Notamacropus eugenii: one gene and its partner. The protein of the gene in region 1 interacts with the protein of each later gene in a biochemical or structural test. Links are inferred from orthologs where the notes say so. Each region holds a gene or a part of one and is shown on either strand. Other genes may lie near its edges.

What was found.
Region 2: of the proteins of CAMK2G (region 1) and RRAD, one has a biochemical effect on the other in vitro, tested with the Homo sapiens proteins (2 studies listed by BioGRID, with this or other methods). The link is inferred for Notamacropus eugenii from reciprocal best matches to the Homo sapiens genes CAMK2G and RRAD.

What each region holds. Positions count from the first base shown.
Region 1 is NC_092872.1:236,560,454-236,569,438, reverse strand, and holds the start of CAMK2G (calcium/calmodulin-dependent protein kinase type II subunit gamma), read right to left. Parts: upstream 3,619-8,985; 5' UTR 3,452-3,618; coding exon 3,387-3,451; intron 2,761-3,386; exon of another isoform or gene 2,427-2,760; coding exon of another isoform or gene 2,401-2,426; intron 2,039-2,400; coding exon 1,944-2,038; intron 1-1,943.
Region 2 is NC_092872.1:693,974,940-693,984,675, forward strand, and holds the start of RRAD (GTP-binding protein RAD), read right to left. Parts: upstream 3,942-9,736; 5' UTR 3,820-3,941; intron 3,161-3,819; 5' UTR 3,135-3,160; coding exon 2,774-3,134; intron 1-2,773. UniProt on the Homo sapiens protein: May regulate basal voltage-dependent L-type Ca(2+) currents and be required for beta-adrenergic augmentation of Ca(2+) influx in cardiomyocytes, thereby regulating increases in heart rate and contractile force.

The DNA of each region.
Region 1 (8,985 bases):
GCGCTAGGACTTTGCTGTGGGTTTCTAGTGAGTGATGTATCCATTCCCAGGACAGAGAGTGTCTGCAGGGGGAGGAAAGGGGGAGGGGAGAGGAATGAAACAGTGTTCCTATCCCAGCCCACACTGCCCCGATGGAGGGTAGGAGGGCACCCTGGCCACCCACATGTTTCTATGGCAACCATCACCCTGGAGCCAAGATGCCCAAACAGAAAAGAAACCAATGAACAAGTGAACTTGGTAGCAGATGCTCAGGGCCAAGAAAGGGATGGAATATGGGATGTGAACAAGAGAGCCTGACAAACCCCACACCCGAGGACCATTCCCTTCTACAGAACCCCACCACTAGAAGGCAAACTGTCCCTGCTGCAAGCCCCGAGGAAGCTCTGTGCTTCCTTAGAATTAACTGAGTCCAAGAACATTCCTTTTTCTGTTTCTCACAGCCCTGGGATGCTGACAACACTGGGGGTACAAAGGCAACAATGAAACCATCCTGCCCTCAAAGAGCTTACAATTCTACTCAGGCAATCTCAGAGCTCCCCATTCCCTAGGATAGCAATTACTCATCCTGATGTGGTGCTTTAAGGCTTACAAAGTCCCTTCTGTACTCGTGAGCCTTGCAACAGTCTGATGAGCTAGGTCACTACAGCATTATCGTTCCTATTTTACAGATGAGACTTAGAGGAAGTTGAGTGACTTCCCCTCAGTTGTATAACCAAGTGTCAGCACCAAGATTTGAACTCAGATCTCTCAAGCACAAGCCCAAGTATTCTTTGCACTAGAACCCCTCTATGCAGCCCATTTGGGGTGCCATTCCTGTGGTGCCTTATATAATTCAGAGCACCCTCCTCTACTTCTCCTGCCTCACAGCTATATACTGAAGTCCTCATCACACCCCATCCACTCCTTCACTGTATCTATTCATGTACCAATCACTCATACTTGGATGGCCACACAAGTCTGATGCCAGGAAGTTGGTATATCCCGAAGGTGAGATTAGAGGTGGAACTGTTCAGGGGAGAGAAACAACAATTAGACCTTGTCTTCTCTGGCCTTTGAAGTCAGGCCCCCTGCTTTGGACAGCTGCAACCCCTCTGACCCAGGGCATCAGGTGCATTCTCTTTCTCATGTTCATGAAGCAACCAACCTCCGCCCAGGAGAGATTGCATCTGCGTCTGCATCACTAACTTGGTAATTTGATCAAAAAAAAGCAATCCAGTTCATCTGGCAGGATTTGTTCCCGAAGAGTCCTCGCCAATACCAGCCTCCCCTGATGTTTACAGATTTTTTTCCCCTTGGGAGTCTATTTGGCTGCCTGGTGGGCAGGGGGAGGCAAGCAACCATCCAGGCTTCTCATTTACTGCAGTTCCAACCCAAGCACAAGTTGGGAGGGGGAAGGATTGTGTGTGGATAGGACAACTCTACATTCGCTCATTCGCTGCCTTTGACTTCAACAAATCCATCTCAGGTGGGACCTTTCCTCACATTCACCAAATTAGGGGATTGCTGCTTTGCGCTACATGAAACTACATTTCTCCAGCAAAACTGGCAGTTAATGCCACTCTTTCTCCACCTCAAGGGACCAAAGTCCCCATTTGTCAGAGTCTTCAGCTACCCCAGTCATCCTTGTGAGAACAACCCACCATCTCTTCCATCCCAAAGGCCCCTGGGCCTCTCCTGCCTAGACAGAGTAGCTCTCTGTACCAGTTCCCCTGAAAGTCACATCTATTCCAAGTTCCAATAATCTCCTCTTAGTACCACCAACTTCTGCCCCACCATTAAATGCATGAGTCCAGACATCTCACTCTGTCAGGGGATAAAGATCAAGATCAACCAAGTTACAAGTATTTATTAGGGACATACTATGTGCCTCACACTGTGCTGGGATATACAGACAGAAGTGCATGAATCTTGCCTTCAAGGAGTTTTCATCCATCCACACTCACCTCGGGCTGATAGCTTCTTGGTGTTAATAATTTTTGCTGCATACTCCTGAGTGGAGGTTTTCTTAACACATCTTCGGACCACAGAGAAAGCCCCCCTAGAAAGAGAGGAGAGCAAGAACTGGGACAAAGACCCGAGTAGAGTGATAAATATTTATACCTGATCTCACAACCACATGAATTGTCCTCCATTCCCAGATTCTAGATCAGAATGACCCCCACCTATAACCACAGTCATTCACTCCTGACAGTGACTCCCCCAACCCTAGAACAGGTTGACCCCCCCCCCATCTAATGGCACTGCCACCTAAGCATTCATGAAAAAAGCAACATGATTTAGACTTATGATAAAAAGATATTTCCCTCCACCCTGTCCCTTTATCTGACCCTGGGACAAAGAAACAACTCAGACTTCAGGCTCACAGGTGTGGGATTGGTGGGAAATGTTCCTATCACACACCTGATGCATTCAGAGCTACCCTGCATTCCAGGGGAGAAGTGAAGAGTGAGGGGCAAAGGTACCCTCTCCTACTCATAGCACTCATACTTGGGAACCACAGGAAATTTGGGAGGTAGAACTCCCTAAAGAAGGCATCATCTCCCTCATCCATGGGAGGAATAAAGCTTTAGCATCAGGGGAGGAGCGAGAAGCCCACGGCCGCTCAGAGCCTTGGGGTCCCACCACATCCCACAAAAAGAACAGCCTCCAGTCTAGGCGAGCAGCAGGGAAAGGGAAGGAGAGCCCTGGGGAGGGGGGCAGGAGCCCCAGCTGTCAAGGGCAGGGCTGCAAAGTCTCTCCCTTCCTTCTCCCTTTCCCCTCCCGCCCCCCCCCCCCCTCCCGAGTCAGCCCTCCAGCTCTCGATGCCCAGCTCCCCCCGGCTGGGTGTACAGGCTGGGGGGCAGGGCGGGGGCTGCAGTGGCCAGGTTGGGGGGGCGGGGAGGGGAGTCTGGGGCTGCAGCAGCGGCCGGCGCTGCTCGGTGCCGTGCGGAGGGGAGGGGGATGCTGCGGCTGCGGCGCGCGGCTCCCGGGACCACTGCAGGGAGGGGGGGGGCGGGAAGGAAGGGGGGGCTGCAGCAGCGCCCAGCGGCGGGGTCGGGATCCGGGAAGCCGGGGGCGGGGCCGGGCGCCGGGGCAGCCCCCCGACCCGGGCACCGGCCGCGGGGTCCGGCTCGGACAGGGTGTGACCAAGGTCGGAGAGCCCGAGGGGCCGGAGCGGGCCGGGGGCGTGGCCGGGGGAGCCCGGCAGCGGCCGGGGGGCTGCAGTCGGCCGCATGCAGCGCGAGGCTCCGCTCCGGCCGCAGTGGCCGGAGCCGGCCGGGGAGGGGCCGGGGGCGCCGCGCGGGGAAGGGGCGCCGCACCGCCGGGCTGCAGCGGGGCCGGTGCGGGGCGGGGGGCGGGGGGAGGAGCCGCAGGAGCGCCCGGGGCGGGGGAAGTCCGGGCCGTACTTGCCGAGCTCTTCGTAGAGCTGGTAGTCGTCGGTGAAGCGGGTGCAGGGGGCGGTGGTGGCCATGCTGGCGGGGCGGGCACGGCTGCGCTGCCCGCTCCGATCTCAGTGCACAGTCACCGCCGCCCGGCCGAGGGGGAGCAGGAGGAGGAGACGGGGCTGAGCCCAGCAGCACCGCGAGACTTTACCGGGGAGCGAGGCGGGGAGGGACACCCCCGCTGCCCGCCCCCAGCCCGGCCCGCCCGCCCCCGGGGAGGGGCTTCTCACGGGCGCCCCGCCCCGGCCCGCCCCGGCCGGCCAGCCGCCTGCCCAGCCCGGGCACCCGAGGACCCACGACCCGGGGCGGGGAGGGGGCGGCCCGGGACGGAAGGATGCAGGGCGGGGGCCTGCACTGACCCAGCAGCCGCCCCACGGTCAAGGTCCCGAGAAGCGGAAGGGAGGGTGACCCCAGTGTCCTTCTCAGGGGTCTGGGCAGCACCGAGGAGTCCGGCATGGAGGGGTGGGGGTGGAGACAGAGAGCTGCCGGCCCATGCCTCTGTGACGGAGGCCTTGACACAGGGCCCTAGACAGTGACTCCTAAACAGACCCCCCCCCCCGGGGGGCCCCCAAACCTAGCCCCTTCGGGCAGATGGGCAGATGCACAGAGGGTCCCGTCTCTCTCCAAATAGGGCCCCTGCACCGCCAGGGATGCAGAAGAAAGACCTAGTACAGAATCCCAGCCCTGACATTCAAGAGAGTCTGTTCTCTCTGGGCCTCGGTTTCTTATTCGACTACATAACGTCTCAGGTTCCTTTTAGCTCTAAAAACCATGATCTTATGTGGAAAGAGGGCTACTGCAGTTGGAGGCAGAGGACCTGAGTTCTAATTCTGTCTCTACCACTTCCTTCTTTGCCTTTTCTTAACCTCAGTTTCCTAACCTGTAAAATGAGATTGTGCTAGATGACTCAAGATCCCCTTCAGCTTTAAGGCAATCATATGATCTTCAGATAGCATAATGGATGAGAACTCAAGCTTAGGAACCTGCCAAGAAACAGATCTAAGGCAGCAAGCAGTTCTTGGCTCAAGGAGATGACACCAACTCAAAACCAAGTTTAGGATTAGCTAGGAACACCCCAGAGTGGCAGGATGTTAGAGCCAACTTTAGAGCTCATCTGGCCAAACCTTCCTCATTTGGAGGAGGAAACTGAAGCCCTGAGAAGGTGAATAAAATAACTTTGGAGAGGGTTAAACCTTGAGTCCGGAAGACCAGAGTTTGAAACTCCCTTAGATGTTTATTAGCTGGGTGACCCTGGGCCAGTCACCTAATCACTGAGTTAAGTTCCTTGTTTGTAAAAGGAAGATAACCATAGCACTTACATCACCGGATTGTTGTGAGGATCAAATGAAATTATGTAAAATGCTTTGCAGAACATAAAGTACATTGGTGTTGTTTGTTGAGGTGACAGAGCTGGATTTCAAACCCAGCCTCTCCTGACTCTGTCTCCAGAACCCATGTTTAATTCAAATTTGACCAGAACCAAGTGAAATACCTTACCTTCCATGGATAGGAAGAAACATCACCCAAACCTCAAAGACAGATGAATGACCCCTCTCTACCCAGCTTGGTGACAGACACTAAAGAGAGAGATGAGAAGGTAGGAGAGTTGAGCCTCTGGGGTGTATCTGGCCTGGAAGAGCAGGTAAAAGGGAAGGATTAGCATTTCCATCCTCCTTTGGCCAGATCCCAGGGTACCTCCTCCTCCTTCCAGCTCGTGAGAAACATACCAACTGCTTTGCTTTTCTTCCTTCCCGAAGGTTTCCCCTACCTCCATGGGGGGGGGAGGGGGCTCGTAAGCAGGGCACAGGGGCATAGCTGTCCCGGAGCAAGAACTGGCCAGGCAGGTTCCAGACCTGCCCAGACAGCTGCATGCTCACCTAGGCTTGGGGCCGGAGACAGCTGAGCAGGGCTGCAGTGTGCTCTCACTCTCACTGCGGCTGAACAGACTTGATTACACCAGGACACCCACTGGGACTCGGCTGAGCTGGGTTTCATCCAGTTATCAGTCGGGCTCCTCCAGGGAGCCGGTAGAGAGAATCCATCACCATAGTCTCATTTCCAGGTCTAGCCTGGGGAGGCTGGGAGGGGAAAAGGTGGACACTTTTATCACAGAACTGCTGATAAGAGCATGAAGTGGTGGGGGAGGGGGAGGACTTTGTTGAACTGGGGGAGTCAAAAGATCTGAATTATAGCTGTGACGCTGCCACCAGGGCACTGTATTTATCGGTAGGGATGGGATCTCTGATTTCGTTGGTATAGGTGAACCTATTTCTACCAGTACAAGAAACCTAGAGTTTTGTTTGTTTGGGGGATGCAGTGGGGATCAAGTGACTTGCCCAGGGTCACACAGCTAGTAAATGACCAAGGCTGGTGCTTTATCCACTTCACCACCTAGCTGAACTATGATTTATAGTTTTAAAGAGCTGCCCATAATGCAGAGAAATTAAGTGATATGCCCAAGGCCACACAGTTTATAGGTGTCAGAGGAGGGGGAATTGAACCCAGGTCTTCCTGACTCCAAGGCCAGCTTTCTATACATCAGGCTTTCAAATAGAGGCCAAGTCAGATTGGATTTGAAACTATATATATCTTCAGAGTCACAGTTTCAATCTGTTGTACCAGCCCCCCCCCCCCCATTTCACTGTCTGAACCTTAATTTCCTCCTGTGTAAAATGAGGGAACTGAATTACAAAGGGCCTTAGGAACGACTTATTAGCCAGAAATAGTCAGAGATCAACTGGTTTAGATGGTCCCTGGATTGGTGAGAAGGAAGAAGGGAATGGAGAAGAAAACCCTAGTGATCAGAGGGCAGGGTTTGGGACAAAGGTGAGGGACAATAAAACCCCACTCCACCCTTGCCTAAGGCAACCGGAAGTGCCGTTGTTGGGGAGTCAAAGCCACTTCCTATCTTAAGACATCAGAGTGACATCCAGGTGCCTTTATGGGGGGGGGGGCACAAATCCTAAAGGAGTTTGTGAGGAGGGAAGAGAGACTAAAGCTAAAGGTGTTTCAAGGTTTTTTTTTTCCAATTACTATGCATTCATTAGTTAGATAGATGAACCCAGCACCCGGTCTCAGCTCAGGATATGTTTATTCAGGGGAATAGCCATAGTTTTGTGGTAAATTACAGTTACAAAATATTTTACATATATGATGATTTTATCTAATCTTCACAACAGCCCTGGAAGGAGGTCAGGATTATGATCCACATTTTATAGATGAGGAAACTGAGGCTCAGAGTGGATATATGACTTAATCAAATACTGGTGGAACCCAAACTTGAAACAAGGTCTTCTGGCTCCAACCACCATGCTCTTTCCACTACACCCTAAGCGAGTGCCCCGACTAAGCAATCCACCATCAATTGTCATCAATTTTTAATTCTAGATTAAAATGCCTTAGTCCCTGTCCCCTAGGAGCTGATCCTGAAAGTTTTAAATTTATTGACATGAAATAAAGGGAAAACAAAGATGCAGGTGCGAGGCAATTCAGATGGGAACTGATAAAGGCTGGTTCTTGCACATCAAAGTAGTGAAATAGGTGGAAATCTTGGAGAGCTGGTGCCTCCTAAGGAGGCAAAGACTCATGGTTTCCATGGCTAGCCTGAGTCCTACACACCCCAGTGGTTCAGCCCAGACTCAAATCTAAAGACACTGATTGCTGGTCCAGTGTTTTCTCCATTCCCTTGCTATGAAAGATGTAGAAAGATGAAGGAGAGAGGAGACAGAAGAGCTCAACTCAATGTTTATAGCAAGTACTAAGTGCCAAGAGCTGTGTGCTAGACCCTAGGGAGATGAAGACAAATGTGCCTTTCACTGCCCTCAAGGAGCTTATATATACTAGAGAAATACAAATATGCAGGTAAATATATATAAGGTATGTGCAAGTTAATTTCACAAAAACCCCACTAACTACTGGTCAGAAAAGGCTTGGTGTAGGAGGTAGGTAGCCACAGGGCTGAGCCTTGAAGGACACCAGGGAGTCCAAGAGGTTGAGAAAGGGGTGTGCTGGTAAATGCTTAACAAATGGCTCTGTTGGGGATGGGGGGGAGTGTAAACTCGATACATTCTTAAATTTAATCTGCATTATTAATATTTTCCTCATCACTTTCTTAAGTCTAGACAATCAGCATAACAATAAATCACTTCTTGAATTGTATCATTTGCTGATTTCCAAGGTGTAAATGCTCAAGCTGAAAATTTAACAATGGCTCTATTAGAGCTGGCAGCAACATACCCCTGGGTTGAGGTTAGGGGAGAACATATTCTAGGCTATGATGGGCCCCTAAGTGGCATAGTGAATAGTGCACCAGGCCTGGAGTTAGGAAGACTGGAGTTCAAATCTGGCCTCAAACACCTACTAGCTGTGTGACCCTGGGCAAGTCGCTTAACCCTGTTTGCCTCAGTTTCCTCATCTGTAATATGAACTGGAGAAGGAACTGGCAAACCACTCCAGGATCTTCGCCAAGAAAACCCCAAATGGGGTCATGAAGACTTGGATACCACTGAAGAACAACACATGTACAAAAGATGAAGAAGGAGATGTAATATTGAGTGCATGAGCAGTTAGTAGGCCATTTTGGTTGGAATGTTAAGTGTGTGAAACTCAGTAATAGTAAATGAGATAGGAGCCAGACTGTGGAGAGCTTTCAGTGAAAGCTAGGCTGAGGGATTTCTATTTTGTTCTAAAGGCAACAGTGAGCCACCAGAGGTGTTTGAGCAGGGAGCTGACAGCTTCAGACCTATGTTTTAGGAATATTAATTTGGCAACTGAGTGAAGGAGAGACTGGAGAGAGGAAAAATGGGAAGCTGGAGAGTTGCAGGTAAAGCAATTTTTGGAGATAATTCTAAGTTGACAATAAGGCATTTGACAGTAAGTGCAGCTGTTATTATTTAAACAAAAACAATTTTCCAAATGGTGTGTGAGGAGTAGAGGGAGATATGAGTAGCAATGCATAACCAAACGTACTCCAATAGCTCAGATACTGAGGTGGTCTTGCTGGAAAATAGAATCCTTCAACCCACACCATCCAACTTCCTGCTACACTATAGCAATTAGAAGGAAGATCTATGTAAATAATAACCTACCAGTCCTTCACAGGTCATTGCTTATAGCAGCTTCATGGAATCCAATCTGCACAGGCAGAAATACAGTCACAACAGATCCTCTGGGCCATATTCTTTTCAATTCAATTCAAACACACATTTATTAAACATCTACGATATGCTAGGCACCATGATGGATAGAGAGTCAAATGATACAGTCTTTGTCCTTTGTTCCTTGTCTCCAGAGGGCATACCACTTGGGCGTGGATGAGAACGTACAAGATAATTTGAGGAGAGCAAAGCTAACCTCTGTCAACAAGGAAGGCTTCCTCTGGGATGTAGAAGCTGAGGTGAGTCTTGAAAGATGATAAAGGTACTCAGTGTCAGGCTGGGCCCTCACAATAGGCTTGAGGCAAAGTCAGACTGATAGCAAATGATCATGGACGTTACAGATGGATGACCGAACCATTTATTTAGATTTATGGTCCGATGTTTTATTTTACAAATGAAGAAACTGA
Region 2 (9,736 bases), about 460 Mb from region 1:
CCTTCTCCTTTCTCCCTCTCCTCCCTTGTGTTTTCAATTATAAGCAAGACTTGAAAGCAATACCCACACACACACACACACACACACAATCATAGCCAGTCCCATAGCCTCCTCCCCATCTCTATTTCTCATAAATTGTTCCACTGTGAGGGCAGGCACCCTCTCTCTTTGTCTTTGTACCCCCAATGCCTAGCAAATAGTAGGTACTTAAAAATGCTTGTTGAATTGGATGAGTTCCCTAACCTCCTTATCTGTCCCCTTGTTTCCAATTACAGCACTGCCCTTAACCTCTTTATCCATCCCTGTTTTCCATTATTGCTAGATCTCTAAACTCCTTATCTATTCCTGTTTTCTGTTATAGCTGAATTCTTAAACTCCCCATCCAGCTCCCTGTCCCTCTGTTGCTTATTATAGCTGGACCCCTAACCTCCCATCTATCCATCTGTTTTCTGTTACACTTGGACCCCTAACCTCCCTGCCCCCATCCCTTTTCCTTATTATTCCCACGATCCTTGCCACTGTTACTGATGATACATGGTGTCACATGCAAGTAATGTAAATACACTCTGTCATATGAAGTCCAGCCGCTTTTCATTGTTCCAGTGTGATACATAGTGAATGATACAAGTTATCAGCCCCTACTTCTCCCTAGGACAATGGAAGCACTACTTATTTGGCTAGACCCAATGCCATCTCTGCTTTATGGATCAAGAATTTCCTGGGTTCTCAGAATTATTCCTCCCACTGTGGCCTACTGAGACCTCAAGAGGAAAGCATAGGATCATAGATTAAAAACTAGAAGGGACTTCACAAGTCTAAATAACCCCTTCAATTTTCAGATGAGGAAACTGAGGCCTGGAAAAGTTAAATGACTTCCTTAGGGCCATAAAACTATTAAGTGTCTGAGTCATGATTTGAGTTCAGGTCTTCCTTAACGTCAAGTCTAGCAGTGTTCCATCTACTATGCTAATCTGGCTGTGGTCTGGGCTAGCCTGGCCTGGACGATTAGTTCAAAGACTGAGGGCCCCCCATTAAAGCATGAAGAAAAGGTTCTGCCAGCCCAAGTGGTAGAGAGTTGTTGTGTTCAATTGTATCTGACTTTTGGTGTTTTTCTTTTTGAGGTTTTCTTTTCAAAGATACTGGAGTGGTTTGCCATTTCCTTCTCCAGCTCATTTTACAAATAAGGAAACTGAGGTCAACAGAATTAAGTGACTTGTCCATGGTCACACAGCTAGTAAAAGTCTGAGGCTGGATTTGAACTCAGGAAGATGACTCTTTTGCCCAGTAGAGAGTATAGGCTGGTCTAAACTTAAGCGGACAATGTCCCCATACTTCATGAAGGCTGCTACCCCTTCTCCTTCCCCAGTAACTGGAAAGTCGCAGCTACTGACTTATACTAGGCTGAGCTGGCTGAACCTGTAATACCCTTAGCCTCTTCCACCAAATCCTATCTGCTGGTGTTGTAGCCTTCAGGAAAGAGTCCCATGGTCAGAAATGGAGACTCAACCCCACTAAACTTACCCAGGAAGACAATGGAAGGCAGCAGCCTGTAACCATGGATCTCTTTGAAAAGGTACAGTGGAAAGATCTAGCAATCAGTCAACAAGCTTTTATTAAGAATAATGAATTTGGAGTCAGAAGACCTCAGCTGAAATCTTGTCTCTTCCTTTACTGTCATTATGAACTTAGACAAATCACCTTTTCCTCTCTGGGCCTCAGTTTCTTGATCTGTCAAAGGAGGAGGCTAGACTAAATAATCCCTGAGGTCTCTTTGTTGTTGTTCGTCCTACGTTCTCAAAGAGTGCTCTATAAACTCTAAATTCTATGACTCCAGACTCCAAAGTGTGAGCTCATGAGACTATCAACAACACCCTGGACATCATTTTAGTCCCAAAGCCTGGGTCTGTGGACACCTGGGAGTAGGGTGGATTTTGTCATTCTCTCCTTCACTCCAAGAAGGTTAGAGATACTTCCCCCTCTCCCTACCCTGTCCTGCAGCCTCAGCCTCCCTAACAGAAGAATGGACAGACAGATGGATGAACTCAAACAAAGCTCATCCACAACCCACAAGTTTATCTTCTTCCATCTCTTTTGTCTCCTTAGAATTCCAGAATGCCACACCCAGGAGCCACCTGAAACCTGTCTAGAGACCATTCTAGGTCCACCCCTTCTGTTTAGAGAGTACAAACTCAGGACCAGAGAAAGGTCCATTTGTCAAAGGTCCTTCAGTAACTTCATTGCAGAGATGGAATTCAAATCTGAGTTTTCTGCCACCAAGTCCAGCCTCCCTTCCAACAGCATTTCCCTCACTCCATTAAACACATCATTCTTTTCTCCCTTTTCCCATAATCTCAGAGTGGGAAGGGACTAAGGCAACTCTTGACCTCTCTCTACCTGATCGGAAATCTCCTTTATAGGATCCCTAGCAAATGGCCAGCCAGCCTTTACATGAAGACTTCCCAGAGATCTCCCTCTTTCCTCTCCCCTCGATCCTTCCCATCTTAATTCAATCAACAAGCACTTGGCCTGCTAAATGTAGACATTACGCTAGGCTCTGGGATTAAAGACCAAACCAGTACCAGTTCCTGCCCTCCAGGTGCTTAAAATCGTAACTCTTTTTTCTCATTCTCTCCAAGTCTTCTATCCCAATACTTTTTCACCCTCTCCTCTAACTCTCCTCTGTTCGGTCCCTCCAGCCCCCCCGGCTCAGCTCTTCTCTCCTCGGTTCCTCCCCAGTCTTGCCCGCTCTCTCCTGGCAGTGATTCTTACTCACCAGCGGCCTCGGCTTCAGGGCCGTCCTCGACGCCGCCAAAGATGCGTGCCAGGCTGGTTTTGCCCACCCCGCGCTCGCCCAGAAGTATCACCTTGTACAGGTGGCTGTCGGACTCGCTGCCTGAAGATGTTAGGGAGTCGGAGGAGCCCGAGGCCCAGCAATCGCTGGGTTCCCGGGGGCTGCAGGAGGGGCGCCGCACCAGGTTGGACAGCTGGCCCAAGGGACCAGAGGGCAGCGCCGCCTGAAAGTCTCGCTCGTCCACTGGCATGCTACGGCGATGCAGGTGCTGCTGAATAAGGAAGGGCGTGCTTCCCCGACGACGGTCCCCGCTGCGCCGCTGAGCTCCACGATTCAGAGTCATCGTATGCGCTGTCTGTAACAGACTGGCTGGAGGGGACCAGGCCGAAGAAGCGGAGAGGAAAAAAGAGGAAAGGGCCACGTTGAGCTGGGAGGTGCCTATTCACCGACCCCGACCTCGGGGCTGCCCCGAGGCAGTTCCTGCTCCCTGCCAAGATCTCAGATCTGGCCATCCCTCTCCCCCCGCCGAGCCCCGCCCCCCATAGGCACTAGACACCCCAGTACCACTTCTGGATCCGTCGGGCAATGTAGCCCCAGTCAGACCGCAGGGCCATTTCGGGCTCAGTCCATCCCCGACACACACACACACACACACACACACACACACACACACACACACACACACACACACACACACCCGACAGACACACCCACGCATACCCACACGCGCGCGCGCGCACACACACACACACACACACACACACACACACACACACACACACACACACACACACACACACACACACACCTGAGAACTAGTCTGGGTTCAGTACACACCCCTTAGTTGTCGGGACCGTTCCCGATCCTTCTAGGATCCCAGATCCCTACTCGAAGATCCCAGGCCACCAAACTGAACGAATGTCTCTGTCCTACACCAAACCCTGGCACCAGGGCACCAGCGGGCAAGGTAGAGGCTCTGGGAATCTACCCTCCCTCCCCAGCGAGGCCGGGATCTCCGCGATACTCACCTCTCGTAGGGACTGACACACGGACTCAGATTCGGATTCCGATCCCGGCAGACTCTCTCCTCCAGTTGCCTCCGCCTCTGCTCGGGCTAATCTCCCGGAGAGCCCCAGCACCGCCTATTTATGTCCCGGCTCGGGCGCGCGAGTCCAGACCCGCCCCCTGTCCTTCCTCTTCCTCCATCCCTCTTTTCTCTCCCTCCCCCTCCTTGGCCTCCCCTTCCCCAGGCTTTGCCAGCTCAGACTCAATCCCCAGAGGGAGGGGGTGGCAGCTGGCGGGGGTTGGGAGGACTGACGTGTTCGTACTTAGCCCTGACCTGAGGGGAAATCCTGGAGAGAAGCACCCCCCCGGTCCCCAAGCCTCTGGATTCCAATCCCAGCAACGCCACTAACTAGCTGTGTCACCGCCCCTCCTTGAGCCTCAGTTTCCTCATCTGTTAAATGAGAAGGAGTGGGGCGGGGTGTGCACTTGATGTTTTCTAAGACTCCTTCCTAACTCCAGGGAGTTGTTCCAAGGTGGAGGGTGGAGGTGGGGGCAGCTAGCGTCTACAACCCTGGACGGGTCAAAACGCGGGACCCTTCTAGCGCGGACCTGGGGCACGCGAGGGACACCCATTATGTATAAGAGACTCAAAATGGGAGGGATCCCTTCCACTCCTTGGGCTCCTGCCTCGCTTTCACCTCCCGTAGAGGGAAGCCCGTTTCCAGAGATCAGACACTAAGGGCAAGGGTGCAGGTCAGTGTTTTGGAGAGCCTGGTAGGTAGAGGGTGGAGGTGGGTGGAGGGAAGTAAGAAAGGAGCGTCGAATTGGAGGCATCCAGCTGACTGAGAAAAAGGATTCTTACCACTCCAACAACAGTATTGGTCTCTTAGTCCAGCTCCCAGCCCCCGGCTCCCAAAGAAGTCCTGTGGATAGATAAAGCAGATCACCCTTGTAATTTCCTACCAGTCCAAGTCCTCCTCAACCCCACAAAACAAGGTTTCCAGGGCCAGTGTATTGAGTGGGGAGGAGATCTGTGGAGGAGTCAAGGGTGCCGGATTTGAATTCTGCCCCTGTCATTACTATTTGGCCTTGGCTAAGACATTTTCCTTTATGGGGTCTTAGTGACCTTTTCTAAAAAAAATAAGGGGCTTGAACTGTCTAATCTAGAAGAGATTTCACGTCTAATCTTGGTTCAATTTATCTTTCTTTTTCTTTCTCGTCCTTCTTTCTTTCTTTCTCTTCCTCCCTCCCTCTCTCCCTTCCTTTCTTCCTTCCTCCCTCCCTCCCTCCCTCCCTTCCTTCCTTCCTTCCTTCCTTCCTTCCTTCCTTCCTTCCTTCCTTCCTTCCTTCCTTCCTTCCTCCTTCCTTCCTTCCTTCCTTCCTTCCTTCCTTCCTTCCTTCCTTCCTTCCTTCCTTCTTTCCTTTCCTTCTTTCTTTCTTGTTCATAATCAGGATTAAGTGACTTGCCCAGGGTCACAGAGCTAGAAAATCTCTGAGGTCATAATTTGAGCTTCAGGGGCTGGTGCTCTAGACATCTAGCTGCTGGTATCTAGGTTCAGTTTCAAGAAACCCCTAGGGCCTCTGGAGAGTTGATTTAGGGAAGGATTTAAGGTAGTTTTAAGGATTATTCCTTTTAGGAGAGGGACTGAATTGCCATCTCATCAATGACTTTCTCTTGCAATATAAAGTCTTAGGGACTTGAATAGTGGTGGTGTCAGACTCAAATAGAGACCATCCCTGAGGACTGCGTGTTGACTTGGACAACCACAAATTAACATTATCTATGTTTTATTGTATTTTAAAATGAATTTTGTCAAACATTTCCCAATGACATTTTAACCAGATTAGGGCAGCACTGGGGACTTAGATGCTGAGAAGTTAAGGAACTCTCTCAAGACCACAAAGCATGTGTAGGATTTGAACTCAGGTTTTCCTGGTTCTGAGGTCATCTCCCATTCGAGCCAGGAAACATTTATTAAGCACTTCCTCTGAACTGACTGGACTCTGTGGAAATAACAAAGACAAAACAGTTCCCGAATCCCTGTCCTCAAAGACTTTACATGAACAAGAGGGAAGAGATAATAACACAGGCCTTAATATGTGTGATACATGGTCATTTAAGGACTGCTGAGGGGCCTAATAGAAAAAGTATTGTATGTGGAGTCAAAGGACCTGGGCTTCTGGGTCTGAATCCCTCCTCTTCCATTCATTATTGTTCCTCAATTTCCTCATCTGTAAAAAACTAGAGGGGTTGACCCTCTGAGATCCATTCCAGACCCAGATCTTTGATCCTGGGCATTTGAGGAGGGAGAAAGGACTAATAAATTACTGGAAGGTCAGGGAGGGCTTCAGAAAGGAGGTGGCACCTGAGCTGAGGCATGGACAAGGGTAAGGATTATCCAAGGTGGGGTTGGGGATGAGTATATGGGGGCTGACGCTCATAGTGTTGGGAAATGGGGTGAACTTGTTGAATGGCTAGTTGTAGAGCTTGGCCAGGTTGTGACTCAGACTGTGGAGGGTCTAAAATGCCAGTCTGAGGGAATTTCCATTGTGTCCTGGAGCCAATGGGGAGCCATTGAAGGTTTCTGAATGGATTTTCTTATCTGTGCTTTGTAGTAGGAGGATCATTTTGGCAGTTGCATAGAGGATAGGTTGGAGTGGGGAGGGAATTGAGGAGAGAGAGAGCATATATTGTGTAGGAGACTCCTCCAGGCAGAGATGGTGAGGTCCTGAAGTATGGTGGTGACTCAGTGGGTAGAGAAGAGGAGATACAGGCCACAGATGTTATGGAAAAACTGATGCTTGTATACCTTCTGAGGAGCCAGAGATTTTCTGGGATGGAGGGTGAGGAGTAGGGTTTCAGCCTCACCTTAAAAATGGGAGCTGAGTAAGCATAGGGCCCCCATTGTGGAGATTCAGAGAAATAATGATTTCCCTCTTTGGATTAGAGGGTGGTTGAGCAGGGATGCCAAGAGGACAGTGATTTAAGGAGCAGGGGCAGTTGGATGGCCCAGTTGATGAGTACTGGGCCTGGAGTCAGGAAGACCTGAATTCAAATCTAGTCTCAGACATTTACTAGCTGGGTGATTCTGGGTAAGTGATTTAACCTTGTTTGCCTCAGTTTCCTTATCTGTGAAATGAGCTGGAGAACGAAGTAGCAAACCACTCCAGTATTTTTACCAAGAAAACCCCAAAAAGGTCAGACACAACTGAAAATGTCTAAACAACAAATTAAGGAACAAGAAGGTCTCCTTACGCCAATGTATCATTCTCCCTCCACCATCCCTCAATATTGTTAGTCTGAAATCCCCTATGATCGACCTCTTCCTCATTGGAAGAAGTAACACATTATAGGATTATAGTATTTAGAGTTGGAATGGATCTTGGAGTTCCCCTAAGAAGGGATCTAGTTAGAGTTCTTTTTATAGCTGAGATCCAGAGAGATGACTTACCCAGGGTCGTACTGGTAGGAAAGGGCAAATCTAGGATTTGAATCCAGGTCAATGCTCTTTCGATGAACACCTTACAAGGTCTGGTTTCTTCATCCTTTTCAGTTGGGTGCTCTGTCGAGCCATAATGAAAGCAAGAAGGGGTAGTTTTCATAGGGCAGAAAAGAAAGAAAAGTTGGGAGCAGAAGTGGGGGAGGAGAAGCTGGGAGCAAATAGGCCTGGGTATTCTCTGTGCCATGGCCCTGATGCCTTGAGGGAAAGCGAAAGGAGATGGATCATCACAACCTCCTGACTTTACAGCACCTGGGTTTGGGGTCTCCCTTAGCAGTTGTCTCCCAGGACCCCCAATGTAATGAGAATTTACATTTCTATAGTGCTTTAAGGTTTACAAAATATACTCCTTATAATAACTCTGAGGTAGAGAGTGCAGCAGTTATTAAGTCTATGATCCTATAATTTCCATTTTACAGATGAGAAAATTGAGTCTCGGAGAGGAGAAAGGGACTTCTAGTATCATAGGATCATAGGATTTAGAGCTAAGGAGGGACCTTAGCCAGTATCTGGGCTTAACTCCTAATTTTACAGAGAAGGAAGAAAGGTGAAATGATTTCCTCCAATACACATAACACTTACAGCTGGGATTTGAACGTGTGCCTTTGTATTTCTGATCAGCCGCCCCACCCTCTCTTTCCTCTTCGCCTGCTCAGTTTTCTGGGCCTTTGCCCACACAGAGCTGATACAGGCAACTGGGCTAAAAATATCCTCTCCTGTCCTCCTCTCTCCTCCCCCATCTCTGTCCTGGGGGGTCCAGCTGGCCTTCCCCAAGCTTCCTGGATGCTGAGCTCATGAGGACATTTTGGTAAATCTGGCCTAGACATTGAACCAGTTGGGCCCTGACCCCATGACTGGCCAAATGGGGCTCATGTTGCATTGTTTGTTGGCCCCAGGATCTAGCTTGGCCTCTCTCCTTCTGTTTCTTTCTCCTAGGAGAAAAGATCTGTACTTGGGATCCCAGCCTCCTATCTTGTGCCTCCTGGGAACTGCTAGGAAGAAGAGGAGAGCTTGGGAAATAGTCACACATAAAGATTTGAAAATCACTTCATATTCCATTTATTTAGAATAGGACTATAGAATACATTGATCAATCAGCCAACAATTATTTATTGAAGTGACTACTATATGCCACACTACTATATGCCACTATAGGGATAGTGGAGAGAGAACCTGCTTAGGAGTCAGAAAGAATTGAATTAAAGTCCCTCCACTGACATACATTTAAAGTCTCAGTGCTCCAGGCAGCTCTCTGAGGTTGGGGTCTACCTTAGGAGAGAGAATTCCTTCCCTGGGAGTTCCCTATACTCATGAAATCACAGGTTCATTTTTTTAAGTGCTAGGCAATGGGTATTTACTGGGAGGGGAGGGGAGGGATATGTACATACGTAAATATCTATATCTATCTATCCATCCACACACATATGTATAGATAGAGATTCTAAATTTGGGGGAGAGGACACTAGCATCTGGTAGATCAGGAAAGGTTTTGTTTAGAAGATGGTATTTTGTCTGAGCCTTGAAGGAAGCTAGGGATTCTAAGAGTCAGAGCTGAGAAGGGAGGGCATTCCAGGCTCAAAAGACAGCTAATATAAAGCAATGGAGACAGAAGAGGAAGGATTTTGTGTAAGGAATACAAGACCACCAATTTTGCAGGACCATGGAGTGCAGGAAGGGGAGTGATATAAAAAAGCTGGAAAGGTAGGTTGGGGTCAGGATGAAAAGACCTTTAAATGTCAAACAGAGGAGTTTATATTTGGTTCTAAGGCAATAGAGAACCACTGGAGTTTATTTGGCAGTTGTGTTGAGGATGGATTGGAGAGGGCAAATATAATGAAAACAGGGAGACCAATTAGGAAGGTATTTGACAGTCCAGGTGAGCTGTAATAAGGCTTCAGAGAGGGTAATGGCCTTATGAGATAGAGGAGAGAAATAAAGATGTTATGGAGGTAAGACACGAGATTAGGCAACTGATTGGATATGTGGGACAGGGAGAGAAAATCCAGGATAATATTGAGGTTGTGAACCTGAGTGATTGAAAAGACAGTAGTGCTCTGGGTCAAAATAAGCTCATGCATTTAGAATGGGAAGGGACTAGATGTCATCCTAGTCTGGACATACTGATGGGAAGAGATAATCAGAAAAAAGTGAAATAACTTATTCAAAGTCATATACAATAAGTGGCAGTTGGGATTTAAATCTAGTTCCTTTGACCCTGAATCTCGTGCTCTATCTACTGAAAACTAAATAGAACAACAAACAAACAATGATAAGAATTTAGGGGGCATTCCAAGATGTCTGATGTAGTAGCAGATAGTGACTAATCCAAAGTCACTGTGCCCTGAGTTATCATAACACATAGCACTCAGTGGGGAATTTAACAAAAATAGGTCTAACAGTTTCAGACTGAATTTAATTGTAAACTAGAGGATAGACTGAA